Linked DNA regions of Kluyveromyces lactis. The protein of the gene in region 1 interacts with the protein of each later gene in a pairwise test. Links are inferred from orthologs where the notes say so. Each region holds a gene or a part of one and is shown in the gene's direction. Other genes may lie near its edges. The genes, in order: PAN1, GTS1 and SLA1.

Region 1 (8,908 bases):
GGTATTACAATTAACAAATTCTCTGGTGTAGGTATTGGCCAAGGTGATGCTAATAGACTTATCAATATGGTCAAAAGAAACAAGACTAGTCTTAACAGATGGAAGAGAACTAAAGTTTTGATTGTGGATGAAATTTCAATGATTGATGGCTACTTCCTTGATAAACTGGATGCAATTGGAAGAGGTTTATTGAATAGAACTAAACCTTTTGGTGGTATTCAGTTGGTCTTCACAGGTGATTTTTTCCAGCTTCCACCTGTTCCAGATAGAGATTCAAATAAGGCTGGTCCAATCTTTTGCTTTGAGAGTAACGTATGGAAATATGCTATCCACAAAACCATACTATTACAACAGGTGTTCAGGCAGACTGATAATGAATTGATTGATCTTTTGAACGGTATTAGAATGGGTAACACATCTGGCGACACCATTAAACTAATTAAAAAATTTGAAGCACCAGTGGAATACGACGATGGCATTGAACCAACCGAACTTTACCCAACGAGACGTGAAGTGGAACTGTCCAATAAACGTAGGTTAGAGAGGTTGCCAGGTTATGAAATCCTTTACAAGGCAGTAGATTTTATCCCTCCTAATATCAATTCTAATATTCTTAACAACGTTATGGCAGAAAAAGAAATCAAACTGAAGGAGGATGCCCAAGTAATGATGTTGAAAAACATCGATGATACCTTAGTCAATGGTTCCTTAGGAAGAGTCCTCTTTTTCTGTACTTCGGCATTGTTCTTGGAAGCATCCAAGATATTCCCTGATCTAAGCGATCCGGAAGTTGTACAAGATATGAGATGCGTTTGCAGAGCCATTGGTGTGCCACCATCTGGTAGATCTTCGGACTTACAACGGGATATCAATCTTAGACCAACAAACAGGCAAGAAGTTCTTAACTTCGTATTGGATAAAGCAAGTAAAATCGTAAATGGGCCCGGTATTCTATCGACAATCATGTTCCCTGTTGTGAAATTCATAGACAAACAAGACATCAGAGGATACCAAATTAAACTAGTTGAACCAGAAGAATTCTCTGTCGGAGAAACTGAGAAGGATTCTGCTGTCAGGAAACAATTACCTTTAATGCTATGTTGGGCAATTTCCATCCACAAATCCCAGGGTCAAACTATCGATAGACTAAAAGTAGACCTGAAACGGACCTTTGAATCAGGTCAAGTTTATGTGGCATTATCAAGAGCTGTCTCGAAGGATAGACTACAAATAACAAACTTTGATCCTCATAAAATTAAGGTTAATGAAAAGGTAAAGGACTTTTACCAAAACTTGCATAAACTAAAGACATGAATAGCTTAACAACCTCAAAAAAAAATTTAGAGTATGAATGAGCGCACATTATTTCATGTCATGGAGGAGATGTCCCAGTTGGGGCTGTCCTTAAAAGCTAAACTTAAATTATTCATCAAATCGCCGAACATTCATGGCATATACGCATAATGATAAATAAAGCATATATATATCAAAAAAGAAAAGGCATAAGGCAGTTATTTGTTGATATACTGTAACGATACACATTCGGGTCCTATTATATCGATGATAGGGGTCTGTGATGTTTTTTTTTATCTTTTGTTTATTCAATGTCAGTTAACAAGCCAAATAATCTAAAATATGTAATGAATAAACAAAGTAAATCAAATTGTCCGATGAGGCTGAGACTCTATCTGCACTCAAAACAAGAAAGAAATCCGAGAGACTATGCTTGTGGCCCTGAAGCGATGAAATTTCGTTGGAGAAGGATATTTAGCATCAAGGTGCTTGGGATTGTAACTACGTTGCTGTTTATATCTTTTCTATTACCAAGCGGAGCAGTACCAAATTCAACTGTTCCACATTTTGAAGGTAAAAGAGCACTAATTTACTCTCCATTTTATAGACTCGCAAGCTCGCTTAACCTCGGAAAATGGCTTTCGTTGGCTCTACATGCTACTAATAAGTATCATAAGATTGGTTTGGACTGGCCAACGCTACCCCTAGAGCAGAAATGCCGTTTTTATTTCGAATCAACATTGGAAATAAACCCAACATGGAATAATGATCATATTAAAGACTTCCATAACGACAATAATTTGGATGACCCCTTGGCAGAGCTTATGTTAGAACGGATAAGGATGTATGATTCTTGTTTCATCAGTGGAGGTTTATCCACATCCAAGGTGTTCAAGAGATCAGTCGTGAAGCCAAACGATCTTGAATCGAGATTATTCCCTTTCCTCTCAAAGAAGACACCATTCAGACATTTGTGGCCTAAAATGATACATGTCAATCCTTGGACGTTGATTCCTTCTTTTAGTAACCCATTGTTAGAAGGTAAAGACACCTGGAAAATGGATGATAATTATTCATTCTTCTATAATTGGAATAATTTTGCAGAGGGGAAGGGAATTGTACTGACATTGGGGCTGAGGCACGGTGACCAGTTCAAGAAGTTACTTCTCACTTTGGAGAATTTAAATAATACACTTCCAATACAAGTTATTCACAACGGATCTGAGCTTACTGAAGCCTTCATTTACGACATTCATTCATTCTTAAACGCAAAAAAATTATCACAGCAGGTTTATTTTGTCAATATTGAACCGTTAATCGATGCTTCATTCGTTGGTCAATACGTCCATTATTTCATAAATAAATGGATGGCATTATTGTTCAATACCTTTTCTGAATGTATTCTACTGGATGCGGACTCTGTGTCATTTGCCAGTCTTGAATCCTATTTTGATTTCAAAGGTTATCAGGACACTGGCATGCTGTTATTCAGAGACAGAAATATTATAGGCGAGAAAACTTTTATTTATTGTACAGATACATTAAAGAAGCTTTTCCCGTCTGTAGAAGAAACCCATTTCATGAGCCATAGATCTACTTTCCCCCTCGAACTTGTGGAGAATGATAATATCAATATCGATACTCTATCTATGGAAGAGCAGATATACTATAAGTTCTTCCATAACTTACAACTACATCACATAGATAGTGGATTAGTTGTAGTTGATCGAGTTAAAAAATTATCTAGTCTACTCATCTCAACTATGATGAATATCGATGGTAAGCTTCAAAGATGCGTTTACGGCGATAAAGAAATATTTTGGCTTGGCCAATTGCTCGCCGGAGAGAAATATTCTATATACCCAACTGAAGGTTCCATCATGGGTACCGTTAAAAACAAGCCTGATGATACTTTTGAAATATGTGGCACCCAAATGGCTCACGTCAGCACAGAAGGTACTTTACTATGGTCCAACGGTGGGTTGAAGAAGTGTAAGGTACAAGACTGTGCCGTGGCTGATTTCGACCACGACCCTGACTATTTCCAAGAGAAATACGGCAACCCTGTTGCCTTACAGCAAATGTATGATTCTTCATTATCTATCAGTGGTTATATCACGCCGAATGTTGGGCAATATCCCTGGGAAAAAATCAAGGAGTGTCATCAGTACACTTATTGTGCCACAGCAAAAGAAAACGTAGGAACCATAGTCAAATTCGATACCGATACTATTTCACGTTTACAATCTGTTTCGGATATCTGGAATTCAAACGTCAAACTTGATGATAACATGGAAATATAGTAGTGTCTTCATCTCCAACGCCATTAACTTGATCTTTTTTTTTCCTGTTCTTACCAACCCCCCTGGCCTTTTGATATTTTGATCATAGTGTAACTGTCATGGTGTAGTAGAGGTATTCATTAAAACACTTCCTCTGTCACCATCCTGTACTTACGTAGTTTAACTTAAACTTTTAAACAGATGTCTAAAGTGACATCAGCCGTATTATGTACCCTATACCCGCACAACTTGCTCCAGAATCATGCGAAGATAGCTCACGAAGTTTCCCCGAGGTGTAATCTGCTTTATAGACGCAGTATCACTCTCGGACTCGAGTGTTCTTGTAGTATCCGTCCACTGACACTGACGCTTCGATATTCTTCGTATTTTGTGATCATCGAATAGGAGACTTTGACGAAATTCTTGGTTGAAATGATTCCCCATTCAAAGGGTTTAAAGACAACTTTGATCTTGATTTAGGAGGTGCGAATCGCAGTATTGCTCAGCGAGTTCAAGGGTCAACCAACCATTTACTAATTGCTATGTACAACCAGTACCAGCAGCAGCCCCAGCAGCCGCAGCAATTTGGTGGGCAACAGCAATTCAATGCCCAACCTCAGTCAACTGGTTATGGGAATTTTTATCAACAACAGGTCCCTACTCAGGGCCAGCAGCAGCAATTCAGTGGATTTCAAACCTTTAGCAACGCTGGCGCTTTGAATCAACAGCCTACAGGTTTCAGTCAACAAACACAGGCGCAGCCACAACAGCCACAGCAACAACAACCACAATCACAACCACAACAAGGCATGCAACAACCATTCGGTAATCAGCAACAACAAATGCCACTGACCCAACAATTGACGGGATTCAATTCTATGATGCCGCAAACATCCTTTGGTCAGCCTCAACAACAAATGCCAATGAACACGTCTTTCAATCAAGGGATGAGCACTACTGCTGTCAATGCACCAACAGGTCCGTTACAGCCTCAACAGACTGGCTTCTATTCTCAGCAGCAGCCTTTGGAACCTTTGAAGCCAACCGCCACCGGTTTCATCAATTCCTTCGCGAATACTGGTGTTGACAACACTTTGAAGATTCCTGCCATTAGATTGTCTTTCATTACCACTCAGGATCAGGCCAAATTTGAGAAGTTGTTTAGATCGGTTGTCACTCCTGGTTCCAACACTATAACTGGTGACCAGTGCAGAAATATCTTGGTCAAATCTGGCTTACAGCCTCATCAATTGGCCAAAATTTGGACTCTCTCAGATACTAATAAGGCTGGTGTGCTTCTCTTCCCAGAATTTGCATTGGCAATGTATCTAGTCAATTCTGTATTGCAAGGTGATTCCATTCCTTATGAGTTGGATTCGAGAACCAAGGCGGAGGTTTCCAGTTTTGTTGATGCTATTAACTTCAGTGTTTCGAATGATTCGGAAGTCGAACAAAAACCTAAGACACCGTTCGATGACTTGACTGCTGGAATATCAATGATGCAACCCCAGCCTACTGGCTATATGCCACAGCTATCGTTCGGAAGTCAGCCTCAGCAGATGCAGCAACAACAACAACAACAACAACAACAACCGCAGCAACAAAGTTTCCAGGGTTTGACTCAGCAACCAACTGGTGGGTATGGAGCAGCACCTCAGACTTCTTTTGGTAACACTTCCCAAGCTTTACAACCACAATCCACGGGTTTCATGCCTCAAAATTCCTTCAATCAACCGTTGAACGCTCAAACCACTGGTGGATTTAGCTCTGTTTTGAACATACCACCACCAGGGTCAATGCCGCAAACATCTTTCACACAGCAAGCTCCAATGCAGACAAGTTTGGCTACTGGAGGTGGATTTTTGCAACCACAAGCTACTGGATACTTACCTCCATCCAATTTTCAAGCAACTGCGCCACTTCAAGCTCAGAAGACAGGATTTGGTAACAACGATCTTTACACTTCAGCTAATCTTGCTTCTAAGTTCATTGCAAGAAAGGAAGAGGCCATCACTCCAGAAGAAAAATCATTGTTTTACAAGATTTTTGAGACTTATGATGTTGAGAAAACAGGGAACCTTGACTCTGCAACTGCTGTTGAAATTTTCCGTAAATCTGGTTTGAACAGGTCAGACCTAGAACATATCTGGAATCTATGTGATACAAACAATAGTGGTAACTTGAACAAACAAGAATTCGCACTTGGTATGCATCTAGTTTATCGCAGGTTGAACGGTGAGGTTCTACCAAATACGTTGCCTCCAAGTCTAATTCCATCCTCGACAAAGATTTTAAACACAGTCAAAGATCAATTGAAACAAGGTGTTGATAAAAATAATAGACAGCCAACTAAGGAAGATGGTTTGAGATTTAGAAACAACGATGACGAATTACTGCCAAGTTCGAGAAATCGTAGAAAGACAATCGATCAGTCTAAGAAGGTTAATGAGAATAAGGAGAAGATTGAAAACTTAAAGAACTTAATTAGGGAAAAGAAGGAATTGCTTGCCTCGGAAAAATTAAGATTGGAAAATGACTCGCAAAGAAAGCAGTCTGAAAATGCTGATCTATTACGGTCAATTGAAAATTTGAAATCTCAAATTCAAGCGTTGCCCTCAACCTCAAAAAAATCACCTTCTGCAAACAATGCTGTGCCACATGATTTACAATCCAGATTTGATACTTTGACAGCCAGAATTCCAAACCTTTTTAAAGAAATTTCTGATGTGAGCAAAGAATTGGTTTCAAGTCAGTTGGCATTGCACCACTTGAAGGTAGATCATCCAATCCGTGGTAGTGGCCCAAACTGTAAAATCACTGAGTTAGACTGTAAGAATGCAAGGCAAAGACTGACCCTGACTGCAGGAATGTGTACTTTAGTCGGTAGACCTGAACCAAATTACGATAATTTGGAGGCACAAGCACAACATTTCAACGAAGGAATTGAAACTATCGAAAAAGATGATCAAAAGAACCAATCTGCCATCAATAACATCAGTACCTGGATTCAAGAGATCTCTTCTTCGGTGCAAGCTATAATTCACGGAAGAACTCCTTCAATGGGCCTCGAAATGGATAAATGGGAATCTGGTATCGGTCTAGAACCAGAAGTCAGAGACTTTATCATATCTTGGAAAAACAGAAGAAACTTCGATAATTCTTCTTACAATACCGCAGGATACTCCAACGGTATTCAAATCTCTTCTTCAGCAACCTATAGAAACAACGCTCGTGCGCCTGAAGAAAAAGACTCGTACTCAAGTTTCCAAACACCTGAAGAAAGATCTGCATATGTCAAAGAACAAGCTAAAAAGAAGATGGAAGAAAAATTGGCAGCATTAGGAATCAAAAAGAAATCAGGGAGTTCACAATCATCACCTAATCCTCCACAATTGACTCAGCAACAACAGCCTCAACAGCAGCAGCAGCAGCAGCAGCAGCAGCAGCAACAGCAGCAACAGCAACCTAACTATTACCAACAACCCAGTCAACCTGCTGCTGCGGTAAACAACTCCAATCTACCAAAAGCTAACGACGATGATGATGAAGATGAGGAGGACGAGGAGGAGAGAAGATTGTTAGAACAATTAGAAAAACTGAAACTGAAGAAAAAACAAGAAAAAGAAGCTAGATTAGCAGCCAAGCGTCAAACCAGCTCATCACCAGCAGAAACTAAGAATGATAACGGTCATGACTCCTGGGATGATGAACCTACACCAACAAACCCTACTGGAAACCAATCACAAGCCGGATCACATCACCAATATAATCCATTTGGCAAGAGTGAAGCAACACAGCAAAAACCCGCCTCTGGTGCTGGTACCCCACAATTGAATAACACTCCAACTGGTGGCAGAAATCCATTTTTCAAGCAAGCTCCTTCACAATCATCTTCGTTTGATCTGAAGGCAGCTGAACAGCAGAGAAGGGTTCAACGAGGCTTGGATGACAGTGACGGATGGTCAGATGATGACGAAACAGAGAAGGTAAATACTACAGCCAACAAAGCTGTTGATGTCAGTAGTACCGCTGTTCCTGCTACATCTACCGCGTCCGTTCCTGTGGCACCATCTCTCCCACAGATTTCTGCAACCACTCAAGAACAATCGTCTGTCGCTGTTCCTATTGCACCACCTTTGCCTTTAGTTAAAAGCGAATCATCCCTGATCCCACCTCCACCTCCATTGCCTACGTCGATTACTGAAGGGTCTGGTGCCCCACCAGTACCTATCGCCCCACCATTGCCTCAAATAAACAGTGACGTAGCACCTGCTGTTCCTGTGGCAGCTCCTTTACTAAAAGTAGGAGGAACTGCAACTTTAGCAGAGAACGAAGAACCAAAGCCGGATGATGCATCCGACGTACTATCTATCCCAGAGTCGGTGGCCTCTGATGAGGAAGATAAGTTCCATACACCAGGTGCTGAAGATGTATCTGTCGCACCTACTGGCGCAATCCCTCCCGCTCCTCCCGCTCCTCCAGTGCCGGTCATCCCTCCACCACCACCGATGCCATAAGTTATATGCTCTCGCGTCCGTAAATTCATGTATCTAAATTATTGAAAAGTAGTTACAGGATATGTACATAAATATCATTTGAAACTAAAAGTCTACGTTGTCATAAAAGAACTGCTCCGTACTTGTTCCTTTAGGAATGTGAATTTCATTTCTTCAGAAACGCAGCCATTGGATCAGCAAACTCATCCAACGGGTCAGCCACCGATTCTTGCTTCATGGGTTCACTCGGTACGTCTCCTGTTTTTGCGAAATCCTTCTCCAACTCTTGTCTTACAGCTTCCTCGTACTCAGCTTCATCGGATCTTGGCCTATAAAAAGCATGATCTACTCGTATCAGTCTTCCACAAACCTTGGCTCCATTTAGGTTATCCACCGCAAGTATAGTCGATCTTTGATCTTCATACTTGAGAAACCCGAACCCTTTAGATTTTCCAGTTGTCTGGTCGCGTACAAGTTTGATGTCCACAGGACAGCCGTACTGGGAGAATATGGTGAGAATATCAGCTTCTGTCAATTCGAGGTGCATCCCTCCAAAGTTTATGTAGGCCTGATCTTTATACTCATGATGCCATGAGCTTTCTGGCTTTAGAATCCCACATTCCAACTCCCTTTCACTAAGTTTCTGTATCGACCTTATCTGATTCATAATTGATAATCGTATTGGATCTTCACTTCCAAATATTCACAGTTGAACCAGCCTCCCAATGACCGCAAAGTACCAGCTCTATTGGTTATTCCTTATCCTTTCTATCAGAAAATTGCAGCTCCTTTTCGGTAACCGTCAAATTCTTCTCCGGTTCCTCCATTCGTGCGTAA
Region 2 (7,660 bases), on another chromosome or scaffold:
GTCTCTCTTTGTTTCGTTGAATGCATGTTCTCTTACCTCTGATATCTTGGAATTGAGTCGAGTGTAAACCATCAGATCAATATTATATTAGCTAAGGATGAATCCCACGATGTATCAGAATGATTTTGTGACGATTTCACAGGAGACTCTGCGGGATGGCACGATGTTTAATTTGCAATTGAAAAGGACACCACCGGCTGATAATATGGACAATAGCAATATTGGAGCTAATAAGTATAATCAGTGGCAGTTTGATTACGAAGAGCAAGAACTGAGTAATGATTTGACCGGAAAGACCTTGGAGGATGAGATCTTCAGTTTCCAGCAAGGAACTTCAATCAGGGCCATGGGCGACGATATCAGAAGGTTATCGATAAGCGAGTACCATCGTGACGATCCAATGTACTATGAGTATGAGTTTTTCAACAAAGATGTGATGAACGGTAGTAGTAGTAGGGTAGGTAATCTTGGGGGCATGGGTAGTTCTAGGTCCGGATCTGTGTTTTCTGATGAGGATAACGAGTTTGATATCGACATGGATCAAGAGTCAATTTTTGTCAACGTGGGGTCAAAATCTGTGAACGATGCAACGCAGACAGTACCACATACAACGAATTCAATGGCATTGTTGTTATCTGGATTGGATGAAGATGTGTCCATGAACTTGGATTTGGACGATGAGAATGATGGTACTGGTAACAGTGGGGTGAAGAAACTATTCAAATTGAATAAGATGTTCAGGAACAACAACAATAGAGACCTCATATCGGATGATGAACCTCAGCAGATCTTCAAGAAGAAGTACTTCTGGTCCCGAAAACCAACGGTACCTATATTGAGGAATTCAGAACCAGTATCCACGTCTCATGGTGCTGGTCTTCCGCATGCGCATGCTGAACATGCTCCTGCCACAGTTTCTTCTCACAATGCGGAATTTGATGATGACGAAATGACCGATGTGGAGACTGGGAACCCATCGATGGCAGCAGCGATTGTCAACCCAATCAAGTTGTTGGCTACTGGGGAGACTAAAAATGACTCTGATTTGATAACTCTCAGTTCACACAGCACAAAGATAAATAGTCTGGAACCAGATCTGATCCTTTCGTCTAATTCGTCGATCATGTCTGCAGTGAAGAAGAATACAACGGGATCGAGAAGTATAAGCTCGGCATCCTCCTCTTTGCTGTCTCCTCCACCAATGGTACAGGTTAAGAAAGCGGAATCGTTATCATTGGCAAAAGTCATCTCGAGCAAGGATTCGATTTCAACGATAATAAAGAAACAACAAGGTGTGCCAAAGACAAGGGGACGGAAACCTTCGCCAATACTGGATGCTTCAAAACCATTCGGCTGTGAATACTGCGATCGTCGATTCAAAAGACAAGAGCATTTGAAAAGGCATATCAGGTCTTTGCATATCTGTGAGAAACCGTACGGTTGTCATCTTTGTGGGAAAAAATTCAGCAGAAGTGACAACTTAAGTCAACATTTGAAAACACATACACACGAGGACAAGTGACATTCTTCTTAATAGCGCTTATTTAGACTTTTCTGCCTTAACTTTAAACGATTTTTCACGCAGTATTTTGCGACATGATATGACCTCAAATAATGAAGAAAAAAAGTTCTAACGAGACTATTTATGATATGATATTGGGATTTCAGCATCTAAATGACATTCAAACTTCCTACTACACCTGACACTGATATCATATTTATCCCACCAACATTTTATGCCCTATACTATAATAATCAACTAAAATCACAAAAAAAAACTATAATTCTGAATATCAATCAGCTTATCAAGCAGTATATGAACATCGTATATGTATATATAGTATCCAATGTATCAACCCTGCTTACCTCTCGTTACTAAAGGTGACCCAACTTTTCAAGTATTGTTTCAAATTGATTGAATTCATTAGGAAGCTCCAACTCAACTTTCAAATCAGACATTTGAACACAATACGTAGATGAGATATGCCCAGTGATGCAATCAATGTTATCTGCAAGACCTACAGCAAAACTTGCCTTTTCAAACAAATTATGTTTCTCCTGTTTGATGCGCTGTGGAGTCCAGTTATTTTTGGATAATTCTTCATATTTGGAGTTCAATTCACGAATTGTCTTTTGAACCTCTTTCAATTTACTTAGCTGTGCACTTCTTTTCCAGCCGCGTCTATTCTTCAACGTATCACTCCTCTGGCCTTGAATTTCCTTCTGATACAATTCCTGACACCGAGCAATTTCACTTTTCTCATGCTCTATTCTTTTCTCTATGTTACTGGCGTCGCTATTCAACTTATTTTGCATCTGATTTTTGAAAGACCAATACACGTTAATGTTCCCACACTTTTCCACACTGATCAATCCATCTTCATCAATCATCTTTTGTACTAATACCTTCACTAACATGGAAGATATGCCACATTTCTTGGGGATATATTTCTCTAATTCCTTCATGTTGTATACGGTATGTTCTTCTTGGAAAAACCTTAGGATACGTGCTTTTTTCTCGGCAAGCGAAACGGTATTCTTACCTGGGGCCATGTTGAATTATTTGAACCTTTTAATAGACTTAATTGAAGCTGATGTCTTTGATGTGATGATGGTTCTTCTTCTGTTTGTTTTTAACCGCTGAACCTTGATAAAAATATATAAAAGAAGACGAAATGTCATTTTCCATGGGGAAATTTATAAACAGTAACATATTTTGGTGAAAGAAGTATCAGAATCGAGAGTAATTGAATCAATTCAGAGATGCCATATTAATAGCCATGGTTGCTTATAATTGGGGAGGCGGTTAGCTGCTATATACGAAACATTAAAATAGATCCTATTCTCCGGCTAAATGACAGACCACGTGAGAATAAACTCTCCTGAGGCAATATGATAGTACATAGCTTAAGCCTGTCTATCACGTCATTATTCAAAAGGTATCCAAGATGGTATATCGTACTGACTGCTTCCAATAGACTTACGTTTGTTGAACAAAAATAGCTCTTGAAATATTCTATGCGGTTGAAATTCCGAACAGGAACAGAAGTTCTATGAATGAACGAAGCATAAAATGGTGAAAGTGAAGAACGGATATTGAAAATAAAAAAAAATACTTCATATTATAAGATTATAAAGACCCAACGCTAGAATTACGTTTATATCAAATAGGGGTCCCAAATTGGACTAGTCGAGTTTAGGTAAGGTTTATTGAGGAGATACTGAAGCGAGGAAACCAAAAATGAGACGATCAAGAGGTGAATCTGTAGAACATGATTTAAAGTTTTTGCTTAACGCTGGTGAGAATTCAAATAAATGTGGTGAATGTGGGACACCATTCCCTACCTACTGTTCAGTGAACTTGGGTGTATTCTTGTGCGGTCGGTGTGCTTCCGTACATAGGAAAGTGTTAGGCAGCAGAGAAGATGGTGCTACTAGTATCGTGAAATCTTTATCTCTTGATAGATGGTCTAAGCGTGACGTTCAAACTGTTGCCGATCTTGGAGGAAACAAACATAACAGCAGTTTTTGGAACCCTAAGAAAGAACCTTTCCCATTTGACGGTGACGAGGATCGTACTGCCGTTGAAATGTTTATCAGGGATAAATATTTAAAGGGTAAGTTCAGACATACCGCTGTCAAGGTGGAAGATTTCAATCTAGAGGATGATTCGTCACAATTGGACTACAAGTCATCCCGCCCATCATCTGCGTCCGGGTCCAGAAGAAACCGTTCTGCCTCATCTGCCAGCAGTAGACCAAGATCAAGAGAAGGAGACAGACCTCCGCTTCCAAAAAGGCCGGACAACAAAGTGCAAGAAGCCGTTTTCGATGGAACAAGTGAACCAAGCCTACCTAGTACAGCATCGGCAGAACCTCGCCCAGCAGTATTCGATGGGGTACAACAATACTATGATCCAACTACCGGCCAAATTTATGTAGATCAAAACTCCTATGCGGCAATGCAGCAGGCCCAGGTACAAGCATTGGCACAACAAGTTCAACCTCAGTTTACACAACAGGTTCAACCTCAGTTTACACAACAAGTGCAACCCCAATTCACACAGCAATTACAACCTCAGTTCACCCAACAGGTACAGCCTCAATTCACTGCTCAACCATCGATAGATAAGAACACACTATTATCACTGTATCAAAGACCAGATTTATATTCTAGTGCCGTAGAAATCAAACCGGATAATCCACAATACCAACAGATCCTGAATCTCCAAAAACAACAGCAGGACCAACAACAGCAGCAACAGCAACTGCTACAACAACAGCAGCTACAACAGCAGCAACAGCAACAGCTCCTGCAGCAACAACAGTTACAACAAATGCAATACCAACAACCACAACAGTACCAACAACAATTCTACCCCCCATTCCAATAGATCATCATCCCTTGGCCTTCTTTGCAGCTGCAGCTGCAACTGCACATCTGCTACCGCACTACGGTTTAATCTCTCATACCTATGTTTGCCTATATAATACGTAAATATGGCTAAAACCAAAACACCGCTACAACTAATATCTAACTTTGTCTTCCTCCTCTGACGTTTCACAACGTCTGCTATACACTCTTATCCGGAACATCCACGATCTACTTACTACCTAGCTATCACCACTATTATCTTACTGACCATCAAAAAAAAAACCTCCCATTGACTCATAACCAATCATATCTTATTTGCACTTAACGAGCGTTTTCTTAAAACCGTTCCACCAAGCACCAGTGTCTTTCCACTGCCTTTACTGTGTACGTTTTCTGCGATATATCTGTCTTTCCTTCTTTGTTTCTTTATTTCTATATAAAGTTCAAAATGACTTATTACAAACTAAGTTTTGATCCTTAAAAACCATTTATAAGAAATAAGAACGCCCCCCCTTGTAAAGAAAGAGGCCAAAGAATGACAACGGTCTGGCACTGAGTAGTCATATGGAAAGCGGTTGAGCATGAGTTCAGAATCGCACGACAAAGTTGTGGCGAAAGCCATTCGTTTGCCGACAGAAAACTATTCCGTGGAGAAGGAGATCGGTAAGGGTTCATTCGCGGTTGTTTACAAAGGTCTATCGTTAAGAGATGGGAGAAACATAGCTATCAAGGCCGTGTCGAGGTCGAAGCTAAAGAACAAGAAGCTTTTGGAGAATTTGGAGGTCGAAATTGCCATTTTAAAGAAGATCAAACATCCGCATATTGTGGGGTTAATAGATTGTGAGCGGACTTCATCTGATTTCTATTTGATCATGGAATACTGTGCACTAGGTGATTTAACGTTTTTCATAAAGAAGAGGAAGAACCTAGTGCTCAAGCATCCTTTGATAAAGACTGTTTTTGAACATTACCCGCCACCAAGTACGGAACATAATGGATTAAATCGGGTTCTTGTGGTAAACTATTTACAACAACTATCCTCTGCGCTTAAGTTTTTGCGATCTAAGAATCTAGTACACAGAGATATCAAGCCACAGAATTTATTGTTATGCACACCGTTATTAGATTATAATGATCCGAAGACGTTTCATGAGTTGGGGTTTGTGGGAATCTACAATTTACCCATCTTGAAAATCGCGGATTTTGGGTTCGCTAGATTCTTGCCTAATACTTCTCTAGCAGAAACTTTATGCGGGTCACCATTGTACATGGCTCCAGAAATATTAAACTATCAAAAATACAATGCCAAGGCTGATCTTTGGTCAGTAGGAACGGTGCTATACGAAATGTGTTGCGGGAGACCGCCTTTTAAAGCATCAAACCATCTCGAGTTGTTTCAAAAGATTAAAAAGGCCAACGATGAGATTACAGTGCCCTCAAATTGCTATATTGAACCGAAACTGTTCAATCTAATAAGAGGGTTGCTAACTTTTGACCCGGATTCCCGTATGGGGTTCACTGATTTTTTCAATAACGAAGTAGTGACAGAAGATTTGACAAGGTACGAGCAATCGTATGAGCCAGACTTAGAATCCAAGAGTAAAGATGTCGCTGAAAGTAATATGTTTGTTTCAGAATATCTAGTCAAACCATTAAAGCAGCAGGAATCTGCACATATACCACCAACTCAAACTGACGAGAACACTAGTGTACAAACTGGCGTTAGGCGAACCTCAGGTAAAGAGAGGCTCGCAACAAACCATCCACCACATCAACAGATCCACCCAGAAGATAACTCTCAAAACCCAGAACAAAGCTACCAATCTGCAAGTCAGAAGAGGCTAAAGAGCTCTTACAATGATTTGATTTTGGAGAAGGAGTATGTTGTTGTGGAGAAGAAAACTGTCGAAGTAAATTCTTTGGCTGATGATTTTGCTAATAATGGACCCATAACAAACAACCAAGGGGCACAAGTTATAAAACCCTTGAGATACAGAACGTCTTCTTCTAGCGATGCATCAGGAGGAAGAAGAGCCTCTTTAGTGGAGAGAAGGCTTTCGATATCGTCATTAAGCCCGTCGAATGCGTTATCGAAGGCACTAGGGTTAGCTTCTGTAAGGCTTTTCGGATATCAACATAATACAAAGGCTACTTCTTCGCCACCTCAACAAACACTACTGAATCCTCAGATATTTCAGGAGCTAACGGAAAATGCAGTATTGAGGGCTGATCATAAACTAAATCCTTTCAGCGAACAAATGTTGGATTCCAACATAACTCCTGCAGTGGAATCGCTTGCGGCCAAAGCATTTGTCATGTATTCGTTCGCTGAAATGAAATTCTCTCAAATTCTTCCAACTCCTCCTTCTTCAACCGACTATGACCCACTGTCAGATAAACGTCTAAGTAACGGAAGTTGCGCGATAGAGGATGAAGAAGATTTGGATCAAGGCCGCCCACCTTCTAATCAAACTTTGACCTCAGCAACAACAAAGATTTCATCAGCCACCAATGTTGACACTCAAATACCGGCCCCCGAGTTGAAAAAGTTGTGCACCGAATCTTTACTTCTTTATCTAAAAGCTCTTACTATTTTAGCTGCTTCAATGAAATTAACATCAAAATGGTGGTATGAAAATGAAAGTAAAAACTGCACTTTGAAGCTAAACATTTTGGTGCAGTGGATTAGAGATCGCTTTAACGAATGCTTAGACAAGGCTGAATTTTTGCGTTTAAAGCTCCATGCTATTAATACATCACCAAATTCCCAATGGTCAGATGATGACCCTGTAATTTTTGTTGAAAAGTTAATATACGATCGTGCTTTAGATATATCTAGAAATGCTGCAAGAATGGAAATGGAAAGTGGGAATTACAATACTTGTGAACTAGCCTATGCTACTTCATTATGGATGTTAGAAATTTTGCTGGACGAAAATTTTCAATTCAACGAAGTCTATGATGACGAGTATGCATCAAATATCACCTCCTTAGACGAATCAGATAAGGAAATGATAAAGAAATACATTTCAAGTATTGCTAATAGGTTAAAGGCACTAAAATCCAAAATGGTTTAGGATTGATCATCTTTTGGATTGGGTTTTTTACAATTTACATTTTATATAATGATTATATATATATGGATTAGGGTTTTTTCCATTAAACACTTACTACTTTTTTTTTGAAACGATACCGATATCGTTTAGTAGTAAAATAAGATTATATCTATGAATAGAATGACTTATTATAATAAATTAAATACCAAATTAAAAATTTCCAAACTTCA
Region 3 (6,876 bases), on another chromosome or scaffold:
CATATCAGTATTCATCTACAATAGGACGATTAAAATCATGGGTTACTACGATGCTATATGCACACTGGATACTTTAGATGGTGCAGAACAAGTTTCTTTCACTAAAAACCAACTAGCCTTTCTAGTGGAAGAGGAAATACAACAGAGGAAAGATAGAGACGAGTTGAAACCTAAGGATACAGTTGAAGGAAGACGTGTGCCAGTTCATGAATACTTAGGTCCACTCTCACCTAAGCAGGCAGAAGCAGCTGCATTTGCAGAGTATCATTGGGACCACCAATTGCTTGGTCCATACGTGCCAAAATCGAAATTAGAGTCTTTATCGGCCAACGAATTTGCAGCGTACTTTAGGAAGAGGCAATTTGAAGAGGGAAGAAAGGCCTTAGAACGTGTAAGCATGGTACCTGCCATTGATCTACCCATAATGGGTGGTGGTAACCCATATGGAGCTGCCCCACACAAACAAAAACACTATAGGAATTAATATCCATACTGATTTAGAGAGGCGGTAACTGACTTGTCATGATGATGTTATTTGATAGGCAAGGGAAGTGAACTGAACACGATACTGACAGCTGATGCTTGTGGCCATACGAATTTTAGACTATGAACTCTTTTAAGAAGATTCTCCAAATACCTATATATACATATATACTTTTATATGTATAGCTGAAAATTGTAACATTTATTGAACCATTAGTCGCTGAATGATTTCAAATACCTCAACATTCAAGAGTAGCTTGTATGAGATTTGATGTTGGAACTACAATAAGTGATATTGTTTTGAATTATATATTTATATGAGGGGGAAAGAAATTTTCTACCTTAATCTTGTTCAGCAATAGAGACCAATCTTTCCTCAATTTCATCAGCTGTTAGCGTAAAGAATTTATCCTTAATCGCTACACCAACTTCTAGATCATTTTTGCTGAAATCTGTTCCTAATGAGTCAATTAGGGTAGTGATACCGAACTCAACGGTTTTTTCCCAACTTTCCTCATCGATTTTATCGTCCTTTAACTTCTTGAAATGCTTCTCCAAAGCAGAGTTCAACTCCTGCTGTTTTGGGCCAGTGGCAGTAGCCTTGTACCCCGTATAGTAACCAGCAGGGTCACATTTGAAAATAGCAGGTCCTGTTTCCTCATCGTACGAAATAAAAGTCAAAATAATCCCTAATGGTCTCATGTAAGCTCTTTGTGTGTATATTTGCGACAAATTGGCCATTCTTTTAGCTAGTACGGAGCATGGGATATCATACCCATATTTATAACGAAACTCACTAGCTTCGGCTTTACATCTCAATGCAATATTTCTGGCATCTGGAACCGGTCCTGTGGCACAGAACCCGATATGTCTTGCCACTGGGAAAATATAGCTAACCGTCTTAGGATCTAAAAGCTTATCTGGGACTTTCTTCTGGCTAATTACCACAGAGGCGGTCTTGGACCTGATGGCTATTGAGTTTAGATTAGGTTGATTGGCCGCTTTGAAGGCATACTCGACTTGGTAAAGACGACCTTCTGGAGAGAAAATAGTAATGTGACGATCGTAACCTGCAGCAGACATAGGATATGTGGTTATAGGGATTCCCAATTGACGATTGAGATTCAGTAGTTACAGGAAGATCAATGAGTTGCCAGGTTCTTCGTATATCTTGGTAAAGGTAACTGTAGTGCGTTGATGTGTTTGCCACCAAAATTATTTAAAAGTTGAAATTAGAGTTAAAATTGAAATGAAATATTAAGGAAGGGGAAGACAACTGAGATAATGCAATCAATAAGAAAAAAAACAGCAACATCAAAAAACACAAGCAAAGCATCCGTGTTACGGTTTTGCGCTACCAAGTCTCAGAATGAGTCCCAGTCTTCTAGATCTAGAGACGCAACTAGCGTTCTACAAAGCTTATCATAACAATACTGGGAATGTGTTAATTCATAGCATTTTTGTCCCAACGATTCTCTTTACATCCATGCGTATATTGAACGACGTTAAGATCTGGAATGGCTATACCTTGACTCATTTGTTAGCGTTGTCATTTGGGTTGTTCTATATACTGTTACGAGTAGGTACCGGAATCCTTGCGTCGTTGATATTGGCACTGACGTGCAAATTTTTGAACGACGGGACTATTAAGATGACACAGACCACTGCCTGGATATTATTTGTGATCAGTTGGATCTTCCAGTTCATTGGCCACGGTGTTTTCGAGAAGCGCAAACCTGCGCTTCTCGATAACTTGGTGCAAAGTCTTGTGCTAGCGCCATACTTCATCCTTTACGAATTACTATTTATTTTAGGGTTCATGCCTGAACTTAAGAAGAATCTACAAGCTCGTGTTGACAAAGAGCTAGATCGTATGAGAGCGAGTAAATAAACTTAACCTCCGTTCGCCTAAACAGTATATATGCTCTATTTATGACTTCTATGATGATGACAATAACGATACTTGAACCCATGATGGAATTGAAACATCAATCACGTGATATAGAAATGATCTCTTTTTTTTCTTCTTTCTATCAGATCTCTGCGATTCGCAGTCACATGACTAGAACTGGGCAAGAACCCCTTTTTATTTCCAGATCCGGGATCACCGTATCATCATGTACGAAACACAACCCCGGGTAACCAAAGGATCACAGAAAAACAATTCGAAAACTGCAGGTTCTTGTACCACACTGCCAGGAACCGGTGCTGCGTGCTGTCGGTATTTTCATTTGTTCTTTTTCTGAGTGAAAATGAGAGAATCAGAAAATGAGAAAAGATTAGGCCCAAAATAATTGAATAAGTCTATCAATATACTTAGAACATATATAAATATATATATGTCTATACATATATAAGTAATTCGTATAAACAAGTTTTAGCTTGAATTGGGTTAGAAAGGCCAGACAAACTCTTGAGGTTTAGATAGAGTGCGCGAGTTGCATTGCAATTGTGCAAAAGAGAAAAAAAAAAACCAATCAAAACGGAGAAATAAAAGGAAATAGCATAATACCGAAAAGAGACGACAAAAAGGAAGTGTCTCGTATTCCTGCATTCTTTTAGTTTTTGATTTCAATTTAGTTTGGATAATTAAATTTGATTGGCGATTTGTATAGGGATCCTCTTGGCCTTGTATACAATCTGGAAGCTTATAGGTCCTTTTACTTGGCTCCTGACGCATTTAAATACCTACAATGACGGTGTTTTTGGGTGTTTACCAGGCGCTTTACGATTATTCTGCGCAAACAGATGAGGAACTAACTGTCAAAGAGGGTGATCTATTGTATCTTTTAGAAAAATCTAGCATTGATGATTGGTGGACCGTTAAGAAGAGAGTTATCGGATCTGATCAGGATGAACCCGTAGGTTTGGTCCCCAAGACATATATTGAAGAGGCTCCAGTGATTGGGAGTGTAGTTGCGCTTTACGATTATGAACAAGTTCAGAATGCCAATGAGGAATTGGTATTCCATGAAAACGATACGTTCCAATTGTATGACGATAGGGATGCAGATTGGTTCTTGGTGAAGAATACCAAGAATTCAGAGGTTGGGTTTGTGCCAGGTAATTACGTGGAAAAACAATCGCAGCAAGCTGGAGGTCCCGCTGCAGGAGTTACACAGTCTAAGCACCAAGCCCCAGCTGTTCTACCCCTTTCTGAACTTCCAGCTCCACCTCAGAGGTTGGACAGAGTCAATTCTCAACCATCATTCAGAAGCGGATCTACCCCTGCTGGCGCTGCAAGTACAGCAGATGCTCCAGGAGCTCCATCTACATCGACACCACCACCAGCATCAAATGCAGGCGTTGCGTCTCATACAACTATGCCAGTTGATGTTTCACTGCTCCCTCCACCTCCAAAGAGAAACGATACGGCAACCACAGAAGTCCAGCGTGAGTCAGCAGTAGCAGAACCTCCAGCAATGCCTCAAAGACCTTCTAATACTGAACACCAAACAAGTTATCGTGATGACCCAAGAGACAATAATAGAACTTCCCAAATAACTAGAGATTATTCAGATGATGAGCGTGATTACGATTTCGATGACGATGAGGAAGATCAACCTCCACTGCCATCTAGAAATGGAAGACCTTCAGCCTCGACCGCTGAACATGTTTGGTCTGTTAGTGAGGTTGATGGTCGTAAGAAATGTAAAGCTACGTTGACTGTTTCTGCTGAACGTATTCATTTCTTCTCTGCAAAGACAAAAGTGGATCAAGAATGGGCAGTTAAAGATTTGATCAACTATAACAATGAAAAAAAGCATCTATTTCTTGAATTTAAAAACCCTTACATTAACTTGGAATTGCATACTGGCTCTAACGATCTGGCTAACGAGATCATGGGCGTCTTGGGTGAGATTAAAGGTGCCCAGACAGCAGTTGGGTTACGTGAAGTTGAAGCTGCTTCAAGGCCTGCCATGACCAAGAAAAGAGCTAAAGCTGTATATGACTTTTTCGCTAACTCTCCTGATGAACTCACCGTTAAAGAAGGCGACTACATTAATATCTTAGATGACAGGACTTCGAAAGACTGGTATATGTGTGAATCTGTAGAAACAGGTAAAAGAGGCATTGTCCCCGCACAATTTGTCGAAACACGCGGATCAGGCTCATCAAGGCCTTCTGATGAAAGCCCTTCTAGGAGTAAGTCTAAGACCAGATCCAGATCTAACACTTCTAACTTTACTCAAAATTTAGTTGGCAGCTGGAAAGAGGATGCTGATCAAGATGTATCGAAGAAAAAGTCTAAAACTTCGAGCTTTTTCTCCAAGAAGAAGAAAACTGATGATAAAGAGTTCCCTGATCCTAAAAAGGTTAGAATTTGGGTAGACAGAAGTGGTACTTTCAAAGTTGAAGCACAGTTTTTGGGCTGTGTCGATGGGAAGGTTAACTTACATAAGGTGAACGGTGTGAAAATTGCTGTTGCTGCAGACAAATTGTCCGAAGATGATATTTTGTATGTGGAAAGATTGACGGGTATGTCTATGGAGAAATTCAAACATAAACCCAAGAGTTCAAATAATGACAGTAGTGCAGTAAACGCAGAACGTGAAAGAAGAAGAAAGGCTAAGGAGCGTGAACGGGAACTTGAAGAAAGAGAACGTGATAGACAATTAAGAGAGCAAGAACTTAAAGAGTTAAAGAGGGCTAGAGATCTCTTGGAAAGCGAAAGAGAAAAGCTGAGGAGTGCACAAGACAAAGAACTGCCACCTGTGAAACCACCAAGACCAGGCAGTGAAGCAAGCAAAACGCACCCTGTCACAAAGAGCTCCAAGAATCCCGAATACGATTGGTTCGAATTTTTCTTGAATGCTGGTGTTGATGTCAACAATTGTCAACGCTACACCATTAATTTCGAAAGAGAGCAAATTAGTGAAGAAATCTTGCCAGATATCGAGCCTTCTTTATTAAGAAACTTAGGTCTACGTGAAGGTGACATTTTAAGAGTAATGAAGTATCTAGATAACAAGTTTGGCAGAACAAAGGAGGCTTCTCCATCAACTGGATTGTTTACTGAAGCCGATGGATCCTTGAAGGTTAACCATACAGGTGCTCCCGCATCTGCAGGCGTATCTCATAATCTATTACCAGATAGTAATTCATCGAATAGAGATGATGATGCATGGACTGTTAGACCTGCTGCTAAAGCCAGCGACAGCTCCAACAAGGCTCAGGATTTCTCTGGGTCACTTCAAGATTTGCTTGATTTGCAACCTTTAGAGCCGAAGAAGAAAGAAACACCAGCTCCAGATGTCAAGCATCTAGAATCTGTCACCACTAACGGTTCGAATAAAAAGGAAGAAACCCCTCTGTCAGCAAATAAGACGGGTACTTCTTTGGTTCCATTAGATCCATTCAAAACTGGTGGTAATAATCTAATCCCTATTACTACAGGGGGATTCATTATGATGCCAGTAGCAACAGGCGGTTTAATGCCATTCCAACCGACTGGGGGGCTAGTACCTCTGCAAAGGACTGGAGGTATGATTGCACCTCAAACAACGTTTGGTATGCAACCAACAGGTACTGTCTTGCCAGTTCAAAAGACTGCGAACGGTTTGATACCAGCGAACACTGGAGGGTTGATGCCACAAACGACGTTTGGTGTACAACCCCAAACAGCATTCCCCGCTACAACCTTTGGTTCAAGTATCACAGGAGGCGCAATGCCTTTACAAAGGACTGGTGGTGCCTTACCTCCTACTTCCTTCAACACGCAAATGCCCGGTGCAATGCCATTGCAATCAACTAACACATTTGGTAATCAATTAACTGGAGGTGCTAATTTGCTGCCTTCCACCACTTTTGGAAACCAATTTACTGGAGGTGCTAATCTACAACCTGCTACCACTTTCGGAAACCAATTCACAGGAGGTGCGAATATACAGCCGGCTACTACCTTTGGGAACCAATTCACAGGTGGAGCGAACATCCAGCCAAACTTCAATTCTGGGAATCTATTTACCGGCAATCAAATGAACATACAACCCCAGACAACGTTTGGTAATCAATTTACAGGTGGTATCAATTTGCAAAACCAACCAAGCCTCGGAAATCAACTTACTGGCGGCGCTCTTCTTCAACAATCTCAGCTCTCCTTCGGCAATCAATTAACTGGTGGTGCTAATGTTCAACAACCGTTCAATAGCAACCTACCACAAACTTCATTTGGTTTATCTCAAACTACGACTGGTGGATTCCAGCCACAATCGTCATTTGGTATCAATTTACAAAGAACCGGAGGTATGAATACAGCACCTCAAACATCATTCAATAACCAAGGAGGTGTCAATCAAGTAACAAATTCCTTCCAGAATATGAATTTGTCCCAGCAACCACTGCAGAATCAGCCAACTGGATTCGGTTTTGGTAACGGTCCACAAGCTCAGC

The links.
Region 2: the proteins of PAN1 (region 1) and GTS1 interact in a two-hybrid assay, tested with the Saccharomyces cerevisiae proteins (2 studies listed by BioGRID, with this or other methods). The link is inferred for Kluyveromyces lactis from reciprocal best matches to the Saccharomyces cerevisiae genes PAN1 and GTS1.
Region 3: the proteins of PAN1 (region 1) and SLA1 interact in binary tests that used the Saccharomyces cerevisiae proteins (3 or more experiments, as listed by UniProt). The link is inferred for Kluyveromyces lactis from reciprocal best matches to the Saccharomyces cerevisiae genes PAN1 and SLA1.

The regions. Positions count from the first base shown.
Region 1 is NC_006040.1:1,149,254-1,158,161, forward strand, and holds PAN1 (actin cytoskeleton-regulatory complex protein PAN1), read left to right. Parts: upstream 1-4,117; coding exon 4,118-8,092; downstream 8,093-8,908. Other genes in the region: RRM3 (DNA helicase), read left to right, coding at 1-1,314; KLLA0_D13376g (alpha-mannosyltransferase), read left to right, coding at 1,605-3,596; U2 snRNP complex subunit IST3, read right to left, coding at 8,238-8,738.
Region 2 is NC_006039.1:1,494,004-1,501,663, forward strand, and holds GTS1 (Gts1p), read left to right. Parts: upstream 1-3,241; coding exon 3,242-4,393; downstream 4,394-7,660. Other genes in the region: COM2 (Com2p), read left to right, coding at 98-1,522; MND1 (Mnd1p), read right to left, coding at 1,876-2,553; serine/threonine protein kinase ATG1, read left to right, coding at 4,956-7,451. UniProt on the Saccharomyces cerevisiae protein: Appears to modulate the timing of budding to obtain an appropriate cell size independent of the DNA replication cycle. Transcription factor involved in both heat resistance and flocculation.
Region 3 is NC_006037.1:445,088-451,963, reverse strand, and holds the start of SLA1 (cytoskeletal protein-binding protein SLA1), read left to right. Parts: upstream 1-3,176; coding exon 3,177-6,876. Other genes in the region: LDB7 (Ldb7p), read left to right, coding at 38-484; SCL1 (proteasome core particle subunit alpha 1), read right to left, coding at 826-1,566; 2-hydroxy-palmitic acid dioxygenase MPO1, read left to right, coding at 1,853-2,374. UniProt on the Saccharomyces cerevisiae protein: Component of the PAN1 actin cytoskeleton-regulatory complex required for the internalization of endosomes during actin-coupled endocytosis. The complex links the site of endocytosis to the cell membrane-associated actin cytoskeleton.